Macaca fascicularis: one gene and its partner. The protein of the gene in region 1 interacts with the protein of each later gene in a biochemical or structural test. Links are inferred from orthologs where the notes say so. Each region holds a gene or a part of one and is shown on either strand. Other genes may lie near its edges.

Region 1 (7,786 bases):
TTTGGGCAGATAGTTATTTGTTGAGTGGCTCTCCTGTGCATTGTGGGATGTTTAGCAACATCCCTGACCTCTACCAGTATATGCAGGTAGCACCGCAAACCCCCAGCCCATGTCCCCACTATCTCTTCTTGCTGGATGCATCAACTAAAAATGTCCCCAGACTGCCATATGTTGAGAACTATGTAGACAAAACTTTTTTTTGATACAGTCTTGCTCAGTCACCCAAGCTGGAGCGCAGTGGCAGGATCTCAACTCACTGCAACCTCCACCTCCTGGGTGCAAGCCATTCTCCTGCCTCAGTCTCCCGAGTAGCTTGGATTACAGGCGCCCACCACCATGCCCTGTTAATTTTTTTATTTTTAGTAGAGACAGGGTTTCACCATGTTGGCCAGGCTGCTCTGACAAAACTCTTAATAGAGTATTTATGGGCCAGGTGGGGTGGCTTATGCCTGTAATCCAACATTTTAGGAGGCTGAGGCTCGATTGAGGCCAGGAGTTCAAGACCAGCCTGGGCAACATAGTGAGACTTTTGTTACTACTAACATTTTTAAAAAATCAGCCAGGCCTGGTGGTATGTGCCCATAGTGGCAGCTACTTGGGAGGCTGAGGCTGGAGGATGCTTGAGCCCATGAGGTCAAAGCTGCAGTGAATTGTGATCATGTGACCGCACTCTAGCCTGGGCAGCAGCGAGACTCTGTCTCAAAAATGAAAAAAGAAAATAATTCCTGGCTATTTGTTAATTATATAAGAACAACACAGCCAGGCGCAGTGGCTCACGCCTATAATCCCAGCACTTTGGGAGGCCGAGGCAGGTGGATCACGAGGTCAGGAGAGCGAGACCATCCTGGCCGACATGATGAAACCCCGTCTCTACTGAAAATACAAAAATTAGCTGGGCATGGTGGCATGGGCCTGTAGTCCCAGCTACTCAGGAGGCTGAGGAAGGAGAATTGCTTGAACCGGGGAGGTGGAGGTTGCAGTGAGCTGAGATGGCACCACTGCACTCCAACCTCGCAACAGAGCAAGGCTCTGTCTCCAAAAAAAAGAGAATACTTTGAGACTTAACTAACTGTATCAGATGTGTAAGATAATTTATCTAAAGAATAAATGGACCCGGACAGTAAAGACACAAAAAATATATACTGGCTTTGAATGTTTTATTTTTAAAACTTTTAAGTTTGTTCCCCCTTTTTGATGTTTTTCTGTTAAAATTTCTCCCTTTTGATTTTAATAAAAAGATAAAATTCTCTACCAAAAATAAATGTAACGAGAATTTGAACAGTTGTTTAAAACTAGAGGCAGGCTTGGTGGCTCACATCTGTAATGGCAGCACTTTGGGAGACTGAGGCAGGAGAATCGTTTGAGTCTGGGAGGTCAAGGCTGCAGTGAGCGGTGATTGTGCCACTGTACTCCAGCCTGGGTGACGGAGCAACACACTGTCTCCAAATAAAGAGTAGAAAAGTGGTTTTTAAAGTTTTTATTTTCATTTTATTTTTCAAAAGTGTTTTTGAAAGTTACGCAAGTTACAGTTTTATGTAATATTTAAATAGTATTTTTTATGGGTTCTGAAATGGGTTGAGCAGGGAAAGTCTATAGATTGGATTTTTAAAAAAATCAAAGTCTGTGCAGGTAATATGTTTGGGGTGAATTCCTTGTTTACACTGTTACAAAGACTTTGAGCTCTGTCCATTGGGCGTAGGTTTAGACACATCTGGGCTCCCCTAGCTTCTTCCCTTTTTATTTGTGTGTTTTGTTTGTTTGTTTGTTTATTTGTTTTGAGACAGAGTCTCACTGTCACCAAAGCTAGAATGCAGTGGCGTGATCACAGCTCACTGCAGCCTCTAACTCCCCAGGCTTAGGTGATCCTCCTACCTCAGCCTTCCAAGTAGCAGGGACTAAAGGCATCTGCCACCATGCCCAGCTAATTTTTGTAATTTTTTGTGGAGTCAAGGTTTCACCATGTTGCCCAGGCCGGTCTCGAACTCCTGGGCTCAAGTGATCCTCCCGCCTTGGCCACCTAAAATGCCGGAATTGCAGACGTGAGCCACTATGCTTGGCCTGTCATCCCTTCTTAAAAACTATACACTTTTTTTTTTTTTTTTTTGAGACAGAGTCTCGCTCTGTCGCCCAGGCTGGAGTGCAGTGGCCGGATCTCAGCCCACTGCAAGCTCCGCCTCCCGGGTTTACGCCATTCTCCTGCCTCAGCCTCCCAAGTAGCTGGGACTACAGGCGCCCGCCCCCTCGCCCGGCTAGTTTTTTGTATTTTTAGTAGAGACGGGGTTTCACCATGTTAGCCAGGATGGTCTCGATCTCCTGACCTTGTGATCCGCCCGTCTCGGCCTCCCGAAGTGCTGGGATTACAGGCTTGAGCCACCGCGCCCGGCCCACTTTTTTTTTTTTTTTTGAGACGGAGTCTCCGTCTGTCGCCCATGCTGGAGTACAATGGCGCAATCTTGGCTCGCTGCAACCTCTGCCTCCCGGGTTCAAGCAGTTCTCCTGTCTCAGCCTCCTGAGTAGCTGGGATTACAGGCATGTGCCACCATGCCTGAGGGTTTTTTGTTTTTTTTTTTTGGTATTTTTTGTATTTTTAGTAGAGACGGGTTTCACTATATTAGCCAGGCTGGTCTCGAACTCCTGACCTTGTGATTTTGCCGCCTTGGCCTCCCAAAGTGTTGGGATTACAGGCGTGAGCCACTGCACCTGGGCTTTTTTTTTTTTTTTTTTTTTTTTTTTTTTTTGAGACAGAGTCTCGCTCTGTCGTCCAGGCTGGAGTATGGTGGCACAATCTCAGCTCACCATGGTCTCTGCCTCCCGGGTTCAAGTGACCCTCGTGCCTCAGCCTCCTGAGTAGCTGGTATTACAGGTGCACCCTACCACGCCCAGTTAATGTTTTGTATTGTTAGTAGAGACAGGGTTTTACCATGTTGGCCAGGCTGGTCTTGAACCCCTGACCTCAAGTGATCCAACTGCCTCGGCCTCCCAAAGTGCTGGGATTACAGGCATGAGCCACCACTGCCCAGCCAAGACTATATACTCTTATTTCCCAGTGAATACATTATTGACAGTTTTTGAAAATACTGACTGTAGCCCCAAAAAGCTTAACTGGTTGGAGATACAGGGCAGACAAAGGATAGATAAAAATGGTAGGGGCAAAGAGTAAATGCTATGGGATTCTAAGGGTATCTGTATGAGTGAGATTCCTTTTTGTTGTTGTTTTGTTTTTGAGAAGGAGTCTCGGCTCTGTCACCCAGCCTGGAGTGCAGTGGCTTGATCTTGCTCACTGCAACCTTCGCCTCCCAGGTTCAACCAATGCCTCAGCCTCCGGAATGGCTGGAATCCCGGGATTACAGGCATGCGCCACCCTGCCCAGCTAATTTTTTTTTTTTTTTTTTTTTTTTTTTTGAGACAGAGTCTCGCTCTGTTGCTCAGGCTGGAGTGCAGTGGTGCGCAATCTCAGCTCACTGCAGGCTCCGCCTTCCGGGTTCACGCCATTCTCCTGCCTCAGCCTCCCGAGTAGCTGGGACTACAGGCACCCGCCACCAGGCCCGGCTAATTTGTTGTATTTTTTTAGTAGAGATGGGGTTTCACCATGTTGGCCAGGATGGTCTCGGTCTCCTGACCTCGTGATCAGCCTGCTTTGGCCTCCCAAAGTGCTGAGATTACAGGTGTGAGCCACCGCGCCCGGGCACTACACCCTGCTAATTTTTGTAGTTTTAATAGAGGCAGGGTTTCACTATATTGGCCAGGCTGGTCTCAAACTCCTGACCTCAGATGATCTGCCTGCCTCGGCCTCCCAAAGTGCTGGGCTTACATGGTGAGCCACCATGCCTGGCATGCCTGGACTTTTTTTTTTTTTTTTTTTTTTTTTTTTCAGATGGAATCTCGCTCTGTCACCCTGGCTGGAGTCCAGTTGCATGATCCAAGCTCTCTGCAGCCTCCGCCTCCCAGGTTAAGTGGTTCTCCTGCCTCAGCCTCCCAAGTAGCTGGGACTACAGGCGCACCCCACCATGCCCAACTAATTTTTTATATTGTTAGTAGAGACAGGGTTTTATGATGTCGGCCAGGCTGGTCTCAAACTCCTGACCTCAAGTGATCCACCTGCCTCGCTCTTCCAAAGTGATGAGATTACAAGTGTGAGCCACCATGCCCAGCCAAGACTATGTACTCTTATTTCCCAGTGAATACATTATTGATAGTTACTGAACATGTTGACCACAGCCCCAAAAGGCTTACTGGTTGGAGATACAGGACAGACAAAGGATAGATAAAAATGGGAGGGGCAAAGAGTAAATGCTATGGGATTCTGAGGGTATTTGAATGAGGGAGGTTCTTTTTTGTTTTTGTTTTGTTTTGAGTCAGAGTCTCTGTCGCCCAGCCTGGAGTACAGTGGCTTGATCTTGGCTCACTGCAACCTCCACCTCCTGGCTTCAAGTGATTCTCAGGCCTCAGCCTCCGGAATGGCTGGAATCACAGGCATGCGCCACCACACCTGGCTAATTTTTTGTATTTTTAGTAGAGACTGGATTTCACCATGTGGCCAGGCTGGTCTCACACTCCTGACCTCAAGTGATCTGGCTGTCTTGGCCTCCCAAAGTGCTGGGCTTACACGCATGAGCCACCCGACCTGGAGTTTTTTTGTTTTGTTTTGTTTGAGATGGAAACTCACTCTCACCCAGGCTGGAGTGCGGTGGCGTGATTTTGGCTCACTGCAGCTTCTGCTTCCCAGGTCAGGTAGTTCTACTGCTTGACCCAGTAGCTGGGATTATAGGCACGTGCCACCACACCCAGCTAATTTTCCTATTTTTAGTAGAGATGGGGTTTCTAGCCAGGCTGGTCTCGAACTCCTGACCTCAGGTGATCCGCCTGCCTTGGCTTCTGAAAGTGCTGGGATTACAGGCGTGAGCCATCGTGCCCGGGCTGTATGACTGTATGAGGGGGGTTCTTGAGCTAGGTGCTTTTTGTTGTTGTTGTTGTTGTTGAGACGGGGTCTCCCTCATTCGCCCAGGAGCACAGTCATAGCTCACTGCAGCCTTGACCTCCTGGGTTCTAGCAAGCCTTCCACCTCAGCCTCCCAAGTAGCTGGGTCTACAGGTACGTGCTGCCACACCCAGCTAGTTTTTACTTTTTGTAGAGATGGGGTCTCACTATGTTGCCCAGGCTGGTCTTGAACTCCTGGCTTCACACAGTCCTTCTGCCTCAGCTTCCCAACGTTCTGGGATTATAGGCATGAGCCACCTCACCCAGCCTTCTTGAGCTGAGGAAAGTTAAGACTGACCTCAAATTTCAGGAGACAGTCCCAAAGGAATTGTGGTAATATTGCGATTCTTTTTTTTTTCCCCCCCGAGACAGAGTTTTGCTCTTGTTGCCCAGGCTGGAGTGCAATGGCGCAATCTCGGCTCATTGCAACCTCTGTCTCCTGGGTTCAAGCGATTCTCCTGCCTCAGCCTCCTGAGTAGCTGGGATTACAGGCATGCACCACCAAGCTCAGCTAATTTTGTATTTTTAGTAGAGACCGAGTTTCTCCATGGTGGTCGATCAGGCTGTTCTTGAACTCCCGAACTCAGATGATCTGCCAGCGTTGGCCTCCCAAAGTGTTGGGATTGCAGGTGTGAGCCACCACGCCTGGCTGAAATTCTTAAGTAAATAAACTTTTCTCTAGGCACATGAATTGGAACTATGGAACAAAGAGATTATTGATGCACTTATTCAAGAAACACATTTACATATGTAGAACAGAAAGGTTGCACAGCTCTTATATACTCAAACATAGTTGTAGAGTTAGATCATGTTCTTAACTTTCTTCATAGTTACCTTTTGGGGAGGAAAACCACCCTTTTTCATATTAAAGTAAAACGTGTACATAATAAAGTGTGACTGGCATCCAAATCAAGAAACAGACCCTTCCCAGTACCATAGGAATCCTCCTTCCTTTCTAGTTACTTTCCTGACTTCTAATAACAGATTAGTTTTGAGTATGTTTGAGTAAAAGAACAGATGTGAGTATATGTTACGTATTTTAAGTTGGAAAGTTTTCAAAAGATGCTGTTCAAAATCTGTTAAGAAAAATATAGTGTCTTAGAAAATGTACTAAAATGTATTGAATTTCAGTGCTGAAATAGATCTAGGCCAAACTCCTCATCTATAAAATCAGGAAACTGAGGCCCAAGGAGGTTGATTGTTCCTCAGAGAAACAGCTGGTTAATGGTTGAACCCAGGCTTTTTGCATACCAGTTTAGTCATAATAAGTAGTTGGTTTGTGGGAATATCCTTTTCATAAACGATAGTGTAAAAGCTGACTGCTAATACAACTTTACAGAAGGAGATAACAATGCAGTATTATTTAAATGTGTCTTTTCTTTTCCCCCTCTTAGTATGAGAACTTAAACTTGCCAAGGAGGTAGAGATTTTTAACTCCTGAAGCATAATTTAGTGAAGTTAGCTTAGTAATTAAGAGCATGGGCTTTATAATTAGATTTGCTTTGAGTCCTGGCTTTTCTTCTTAAAACCTGAAGTACTGGCTCTGTATCTCGATTATCTTTATCTGTAAAAACTGTGGGAAGATTAAGAGTGTCTTTACAGTGCTTAGAATAACCTTGGGACATAATTAAACAGATAGCTGTTAGATGTCAGAAGTAGCTATGTTTTCATATTCTGTTGTGCTTATTGTTCTTGAATTATAAAGGTATTGTTCAATGGTTTAGTGATTACTGGATGTAAATATGCCTCAAGAAAAGCTCAATATGAGGGCTATGGTACTTCTAATAGTGTTTCTTTGTCACCTGTGTGCAAATAATCCATGGGGCTGGTAGCCAAGTAGTCCACCCTTATCTGCAGTTTCATTCTCTGCAGTTTCAGTTACCCACTGTCAACCATCGTCCAAAAATAAGTGAGTATAGTACAATAAGGTATTTGAGAGAGCACATTCACATAATTTTTATTACAGTATATTGTTATAATTACTCTATTCTATTATTGTTAATCTCTTACTGTGTTTAATTTATAAATTAAACCTTATCATAGGTATGTACATATAGGAAAAAACGTATAGGGTCAGTACTATCCGTGGTTTCAAGCATCCAATAGGGATCTTGGAGTGTGTCCCCTGTGGATAAGAGGGGATATATTAATACAGAGGAATATATGTGGGCTCTGTTCTCCAGATGTGATTTATTTAATCTTTCTTTAGGAGACAGTTATAAATTGGAGAAAAGTTTGTGTTAAAATGTTACCTTCCTGAATGAAAAAGTTTATTTGGGAAACTCTCAAATGATATAGAGATAATGGGATTATTTTGGATTTCTTGACATGGCTCTGGTTTCCTGAAACTAGAGCAAAGAATCTAGATTCTAATCCTATGGTATATAATCTTGGATCCCTTTGCAAATCTCTTCTTCAGTGGGCTTTGGGAACCAGAAAATAAGTGGTCTCATTCATCTGACATCCATGTTATTCTCTTATGTAAATCTGAAAAGGTGGGAGAACTTTATTTCACTGAAAATGCTTTTTAAAAAATTTTTTATTTTTTTAAGGCTAGTCCAACGAAGCAGTGGAAATGGAAAAGGAAAAAAGTCTGTAACTGGTTATGATCAATTAATTGTTAACACCACTGAAAAACCCTTTTTTCCTTTCTCTTCCCTTTAGTTCTTTGCTTTTACTCCAAATTTAGAATAACTGCCTACAGTTGAATGCCTACTGTCTGATTGATTGATTGATTTTAAGACACAAGGTCTTGCTCTGTTGCCCAAGTTGGAGTGCAGTGGCAGCAAAGCAAGACCTTACAGCTCGC
Region 2 (7,138 bases), on another chromosome or scaffold:
CCAGGTGTGGTGGCACGCACCTGTAATCCCAGCTACTCGGGAGGCTGAGGCAGGAGAATTGCTTGAACCCAGGAGGTGGAGGTTGCAGTGAACCGAGATCGCTCCATTGCACTTCATCCTGGGTGACCAAGTGAGACTCTGTCTCAAAAAACAAAACAAAACAAAAAAACCTCAACTTTGTCAGCTGCTCAGTTAAAACACTTCAAACATTTCAGACTAGTAAGTGAATTTTTAAAAACATCTGAAATATTCAAGAAAATTTGGGTTTTGGTACTTTTCCATATGCTTTGAACAATGTGAACTCCCAACATTGTTTATCCTTGTTCCTCTTACTGCATGAAGTTCAAACTAGGTCTTAAAGACAACATTTCTGTACTTAAGAAAAAGTGCAAAGACAGAAAATGAAATATAAGGTGTTCTGCAAGAAATGTTCCCTCGAGAATGGTGATTGGATGTTGGTGGGGGGAAAACGATTTTTGTTCTCCACCGTAATCTGACACCTACGAATGACCTTGTCTTCAATGTCCACAACACCAGTAAGCATGTAATAATCATGGACATCGCAAGATTAAAAAATTAAGTAGCAAATTCCACTAAAATACTTGTATTCATTCTATACAATCGAATGGAAATCCGTGAGTGCTATTGAAAAAGGTGTTCACATGCACATGTCCAATGTGTGCATTCCACTGAAGGCTACAAGCTTAAAATTCTATTTCCAGTGTTTATGAATAGCTTCAATATCTACATTCATAGCCAGCATTCTGCTTGAGTTACCTCTTACTTTAATACTTCACAAATCAGTTGTACATCTTGGGAGGTTAGGAAGGTATCTGTTGTCAATAACTTTCTCTTATGCTTAGAATGTGCTGCAATTGTTTTTAAACTATTTAAAATGAACGCCCCTATAATAATGAAACACTTTATGCCAAGAAGAAAACTGATTTGTTTTTAGCCAATCAAGACTACCCTGCAGATCTGAAAACTGTAGATTACATCCTTAGGAAAGGAGAAAAGGAGGCTCACAAATATAAAGGAATCCTGACTTTACACGGACACATTTTTAAAAAGATAAAATGTATTACATAAGCGCCATAAACAGTGAAATCTGCTTATAAAAAAAATAAGTGAAGCTTTGTTTGGACATTATTTCCTTGCAAGAGCAGTACATATCCTTAGTAAACAACTACCATATTTACAAGTTAATTTCCTTGATACTTAGGTAGGATTGAAAGCCAGAAGAAATCATGAAAGAGTGAGCTTTGAAATAATCTTTACAGCTAAGTTGATAACAGTGAAGGTAGCCAGACAATTCCTAAAGCAGACTTGTTTATTTTGTAGAGTATCTGACTATGTCTGGGTAGCTAGCTTGCTTTGATAAAGGCCAAGGACAAGTTCAATCCCTATTTTGGCCTGTTAAAGCTTTTCCCAGAAGAATAAATACCTGCTCCATAGTCATTCTAATCCTAACCCCAGCTAGCCTCAAAAAAGAAACTAGGCAAGAGGACTGGGGTTATCATGAAGTTACTCCTACTACTAAGAAACCAACATAAAGTGCATGTCCATAGATAGTGAGTCAGCAGTCTCATTTTCATATATGGGCAGCACAATTAAAACTTGAATTTCAAATAACCCAACATGACTCACTTTCAACAAAGGATAAAAATCCCTTAATCTTCAACTGGTCTTTAAATTCGAGATGTTAGGTCTGTGTTAAGAGATAGTAATGAAATATTATCAAGTGTGCAATGGTACCTTAAATGACAAATCTCAAAAATAACACAAATTCAAGACTTTCCTATTAACACACACATGTGTACCAACTGCATTTCATATGCTACAAGTGGTTTTATAGTCTCTTTCCTCCATCTTTTCATTTTTGAGGAGCAGACTTGTAAAAACATCAATTTAACTTGTGCTAGGTGGTAGTGGTTTGTTTTTCTTAAACCAGAACTCTGCCAAATTTGCTGATCTTCTGCTTCGTCTACTCAGGTAGAATACCAGGTCAAGCTGCTGCTGCGGCTGCTCTCACCATATGAAACCAGTTTGTGTCTGCATTATTACCGTCTTCAGGAAAACTTTTAAATCCTCCAGAGCCGTTTTCTTTATTCCTCCCATCTTTCACTTCCTGCCTAAATCCAAGTTAAATTATACGATTTCCACTGGTCTTCAACACAGTTTGATTCTGCACTGTCCTTTCCTTTGCATGTCACAGTAGCTGTTCACATACATTAAATATTATAGATATGTTCTGCTCTTGACATCTACACACTTACAAAAGCAGCTTTGTACTTTGTTTGGTGTGTTTGTTACTATGTTGGCTCACAAAAAGCAGTTTTCTCAGTTCTAAGCATGGTACTTTACAATTTTTAATGCATTCATACAACAGTGCATTGGAAAAGTACTGAGCCTCTACAAAATAGCTTTACATTTTTAAACAAATGAATGTGATTTTTTTTTCACTTACACAAGCATAGGCTTTTTAATATTTCCACAAGATAAATATCTCAATTAAACTATAAGCTCACTCTACAGTGTGCCACAGTGATGGGCTTAGGAGACAGTTGTACACTTAGAAGATCCTAACCTTAGTGTTATTTACACTGACATGTCCAGTATCACCAAGTCTGAAAGGTGAACAAACAATATTCAGAATGTGGCTGAATTTGTGTCAACTAATAACTAGGAATGGTATAGCTTTAATCACTTATGAAACACATACTGTAACTTAGTCTAAACTGGTAATTTCCTTCGCTCCTCTCTCTTATGGCGTGGGAAAATTTAAAGATCAACATGAAACAGGAGCCATTGCTAAGGCAGATCTTTTAAGATAACAAAGGAAAAATTAACGAGTGTATATGATAAATTAACAGTAACAGTGATGCTACCAATTTAACTGGTACAGAAATCAGATTTTTAGGTCCTAAAACGTGACTTTTAAAATACTTCCTTTTATTCTGGAACAAAAACTGGAGAAAGGACAATGATTCCTTCAGAAAGCAATGACTCAATTCAGGTTGTTACTTTACATTTAAGTACCACTCAAAAAGTGGACATAAAAGCAAGTGATTCCTATTTGCCCATCACTATATCAGCTACATAGCTGAGAGTTCAGATCTTAATTACACAACACTTTCTCTGTTCCCAGAAGCTAAGACTGCTCTGCGACAAATAGGACAGGTAGAATTCTCAGATAACCAGCGATCGATGCAGTGGACATGGTACTCATGGGAACAAGGTAGTTTACGAAGTTTGTTGCCTTCTGTATATTCTGTAATGCAAACACTACAGGTTTTTAATGCATCATTTTCACCAAAACTTCTCATTGCCAAGTTGTCAATCTGTTCTTTGGTGAGTCCTCTAGGCTGGTCATCATCATCCTCATTTAAGAGGAAAAACTGAGCCAGGCTAAGGAAGGGCAAAGAGCCACTTTCATCAAATGTGACTGGGGCCCTATGTCGACCCTCTCGCCTGGCACCTGATGAGCCTGATGATGAGCTTCCTTCATTACTGCCTTCAAATAAATCTGAGCTAGCTTCTGAACTTTCACCACCGGAACTGGAACTAGGACTGGAACTGGAACTCGAACTGGAACTCGAACTGGAACTCGAACTGGAGCTCGAACTGGAACCAGAACTACTACCACCACCAGAACCCCCTCTTCCACTCCGTGACTCTGCCCTTTCCATATTTCGATTGGGGACTGAGCCAGTAGGCTCTGAGTCGCTATCACTGTACATAAAATAGCTTAACTCACCAAAACCTGTCATTATCTGCCTTAACATGGTCTGAATTGCAACAGATGTAGTCTCACTTAAACCAGTATTTAAGATTCTACGAATGGGAATTCTGATGGTACTGACATAGGTTCTCACACCTGCCCGCTCAGAACGTGAAAACGTACGCCTAAAACCTCCTCGTTCACTTTCATAGGTGACAGTGTTGTTTGGCGTCTGAGACCTAGATCGAGTTCTGCTGGCTATGCTATCTCTCTGCCGATATTCTCCAGGACGAACTCTTCTTACTTGAAGATCAAGGACTATGGTTGGAGGTCTCTGTCCTGATCCTGTAGATTCACCATTGGCAGCTGTGTCCGAAGAACCTGCTCCTTGAGAGGCATTTCTTGTTCCAGAAGCTGCAAAAAGACCTCTACTTAGCAACTCAGGCCCAGATATTTGCTGTCTCAATGTCACATGGTGCCGGGTTCTAGAACTTCCCTCCGTCTCATTTACCAAAGGATGTTCAAAAGTCTGAGATGAGATACTATGATGAGATCTTCGTGGAATTTCACTCATTGGATGCAGAGGTGACCTACTTCTCTCAGCTCTTGCTCTGGTTCTCCGATGGTCTGGGCTCCTGCTTCTTGCCCTCCTCTGACCTCTGGTAGGTGGGACCTCTGTTAATGCTTCAGTTGAATTTCGTTCTGATCTAGATGGCCTTGCAGATGTTGATTCAGATCGTGGGTTTTCCACTTGCCTTTGGCTGTTGTTTTCCACATTTTCTCCACTAGAACGTCTTGCAGATGGCTCATTTTCATTCTCTGAATTTTGGCTCCCATTATTACGATTAACATTTATCTCTAAACTGAATCTGAAATCACCACTGTTTGGATTAGTCCGGCTCACCGCTCTCCAAGATTGGTTTCCTCTTTGTCCACTTCTTGTTGTATTTCCAGTTTGTCTGACAGAGTTTAGCCAGTCTATTATAGAGTCACCATTAGACACATCATCTGAAGAGTCTCCTCCTGTTCAAAACAAAGGAGGGGGAGAGGGAGAAAAAGGAACTACTAAAATGAGGACAATCATATAATAAGTGCTCTAAAACTCTGCATTAAAGAATTTAAAGATTCGGAACACATTTCATAATTACAGATTTTTACAAACTACACTGCATAAACTTATAAGGCAAGAAAATTCTAATTCCATTTGAAAAGAGCAATCTATATTAGAGAAATTTAGAGAATTATTTGATTTTTAAAGGGAATCTAGAGGAAGTCTGTTTCTAGTATTTTATCATATAAAGGCCAAGCATACCACTGTGGGATGGCCAGAAGACATTTTTTCAGTCCTCTGCCAAAACACTAATGTAATCAGACTAGGTAAGGAGACAGTGTTTAAAGAATAGTCACATTTAGTTCAAGCTACATTTCTGTCAAATTTTTATTAGTCTACATACTGTGCCTTCGATAACATTTGAGGTTGTTTTAAAATACAAGACTACTTATTGTAGCCATAAGAAAAATACAAACAAGATTTATAGGTTTAAAAGCATTTGCATATTTCTTAAAGTTACCAAGGTTTTCAATGGACATGAAATTAAAGATCAGATCAAATAAGTAGTCTGAACCTTGCATAGCACATACACTGGCATGCTCAAGAACCAAATTATTATCGTAGCCTCTCAAGGTTACACAGTCAAAATCCCTACTCGACACTGGGAGGGAAACACCAGACCTGAGATTAGAGCAAGATTTCTCAACAGTGGTACTACTTGACATTTTAAGCCAGTTAATTCTGTGTCATGGGGGCTGTGTTGTGCATTATGGCATGTCAGGATGTTTGGCAGCATTCCTGCCCTCTACACAAATGTCTCCAGACGTTGCTAATGTCCCACATGGGACAAAATTATATCTCATTAGGAGCCACTGGGTTTAGACATTTCTTTTTGCTGGTGAAGAACTCGCATGTTTATAAAGAAGGAATTAAGTAGGAATAAATTTCAATGGAGGTGAAAAACAAACAAAATCACATTTAAATAGGCCATTTCTCACTGTGTTCCAATTAACATAAACATCCCAAAGGTGAGATAGAAAAAAAATGCTGACATTCTCACTAAGAAAATGTCAGTTTTCTTTTTATGAGCAGTTACTTAGCACCAAATTAATTTGTGCCAAATTTGGATAATCTTTGGCTGACATTTACTATTACAAAGCTCCTATCATTCTATCATCTATCCACCTCCCCACCAAAACCAAAATATACCTCTATTTTCATCTGAGTTTTGCGGTGGTGGGCCTTCTTTAATTTGCTGTAGTCTTCTCAGCAACTCTTCCTCAGTACTTTCACCTGAAATTTAACACCACAGGGCAAAAATGACATTAGGGGTATGACAATCAAATACTTTATCAGTGACTCATAGTAATCTGACACAAGATGATTAGAAAAAAAATCATATTTTTAAAAGTTAAGAGAAAACGTAAAAAAAAAAAAAAAAAAAAAAAAAAGAAAGAAAAAAGAAAACCAGTGGTTCCCAACTCTGAGAGAAAAACCAAGGAGTAGGTAGGACCCGGGAAAAATTCACTTCTTTGGAAACATATTACAAGCAATTTACAAAGTTCTTTTGCATATAAGATCTAACTTTTAAAAATTGCAACTCTAGGCCAGGCATGGTGGCTCACGCCTGTACTCCCAGCACTTTGGGAGGCCGAGGCAACTGGATCACCAGAGGTCAGGAGTTCATGACCAGCCTGGCCAACATGGCAAAACCCCATCTCTACTAAAAATACAAAAATTAGGCAGGCGTGGTGGTGAGCGCCTGTAATCCCAGCTACTTAGGAGACTGAGGAGCAGGGTCACTTGAACCTGGGAGGCAGAGGTTGCAGTGAGCCGGGACTGCACCACTGCACTCCAGCCTGGGCGATGGAGCAAGACTCCGCTTAAAAAAAAAAAAAAAAAAAAAAAGGCAAAGGCAATTCTAAGCTGGGCACACAGTGGTACTGCATCTGTAGTGCCAGCTTGTTAGGTTGGGAGACTCAGGCAGAAGAATCCCTTGAGTCCAGCCAGGGCAACATAATGAGACCCTGTCTTAAAAGTAAATAAGTAAATAATTTTTAAGAATTGAAGCTTTGAGAGGAAGATATTGTTATCTGCATTTTAAAATGAAGAAACAGACTGAGTGATAGACTGGCTTGCCAGAAGCCACATCAAACAGCAGGGCCAGAACTCCAACTAAGGCATTCTGATTCAAGCCTGGTACTGTTGGCTCAAAACACACTCCCTCTCTTAAAAGTCATGCAAAAACCTTACCTTTTAAAATCTAAGCAATTACTCAAAGGTAAGTAGAATTAAACAGAAATGAGAAGGAAGACAGACACTGAGTTTTAACTAGGATCAAATGGGACTTCGTGGGGTAAAAGATA

Evidence for each region.
Region 2: the proteins of UBE2K (region 1) and RLIM form a complex in vitro, tested with the Homo sapiens proteins (2 studies listed by BioGRID). The link is inferred for Macaca fascicularis from reciprocal best matches to the Homo sapiens genes UBE2K and RLIM.

What each region holds. Positions count from the first base shown.
Region 1 is NC_088379.1:38,996,765-39,004,550, forward strand, and holds the start of UBE2K (ubiquitin-conjugating enzyme E2 K), read left to right. Parts: upstream 1-3,859; 5' UTR 3,860-3,874; coding exon 3,875-3,948; intron 3,949-7,786. UniProt on the Homo sapiens protein: Accepts ubiquitin from the E1 complex and catalyzes its covalent attachment to other proteins. In vitro, in the presence or in the absence of BRCA1-BARD1 E3 ubiquitin-protein ligase complex, catalyzes the synthesis of 'Lys-48'-linked polyubiquitin chains.
Region 2 is NC_088395.1:81,485,665-81,492,802, forward strand, and holds part of RLIM (E3 ubiquitin-protein ligase RLIM), read right to left. Parts: intron 6,066-7,138; coding exon 5,982-6,065; intron 4,745-5,981; coding exon 3,123-4,744; 3' UTR 1-3,122. UniProt on the Homo sapiens protein: E3 ubiquitin-protein ligase.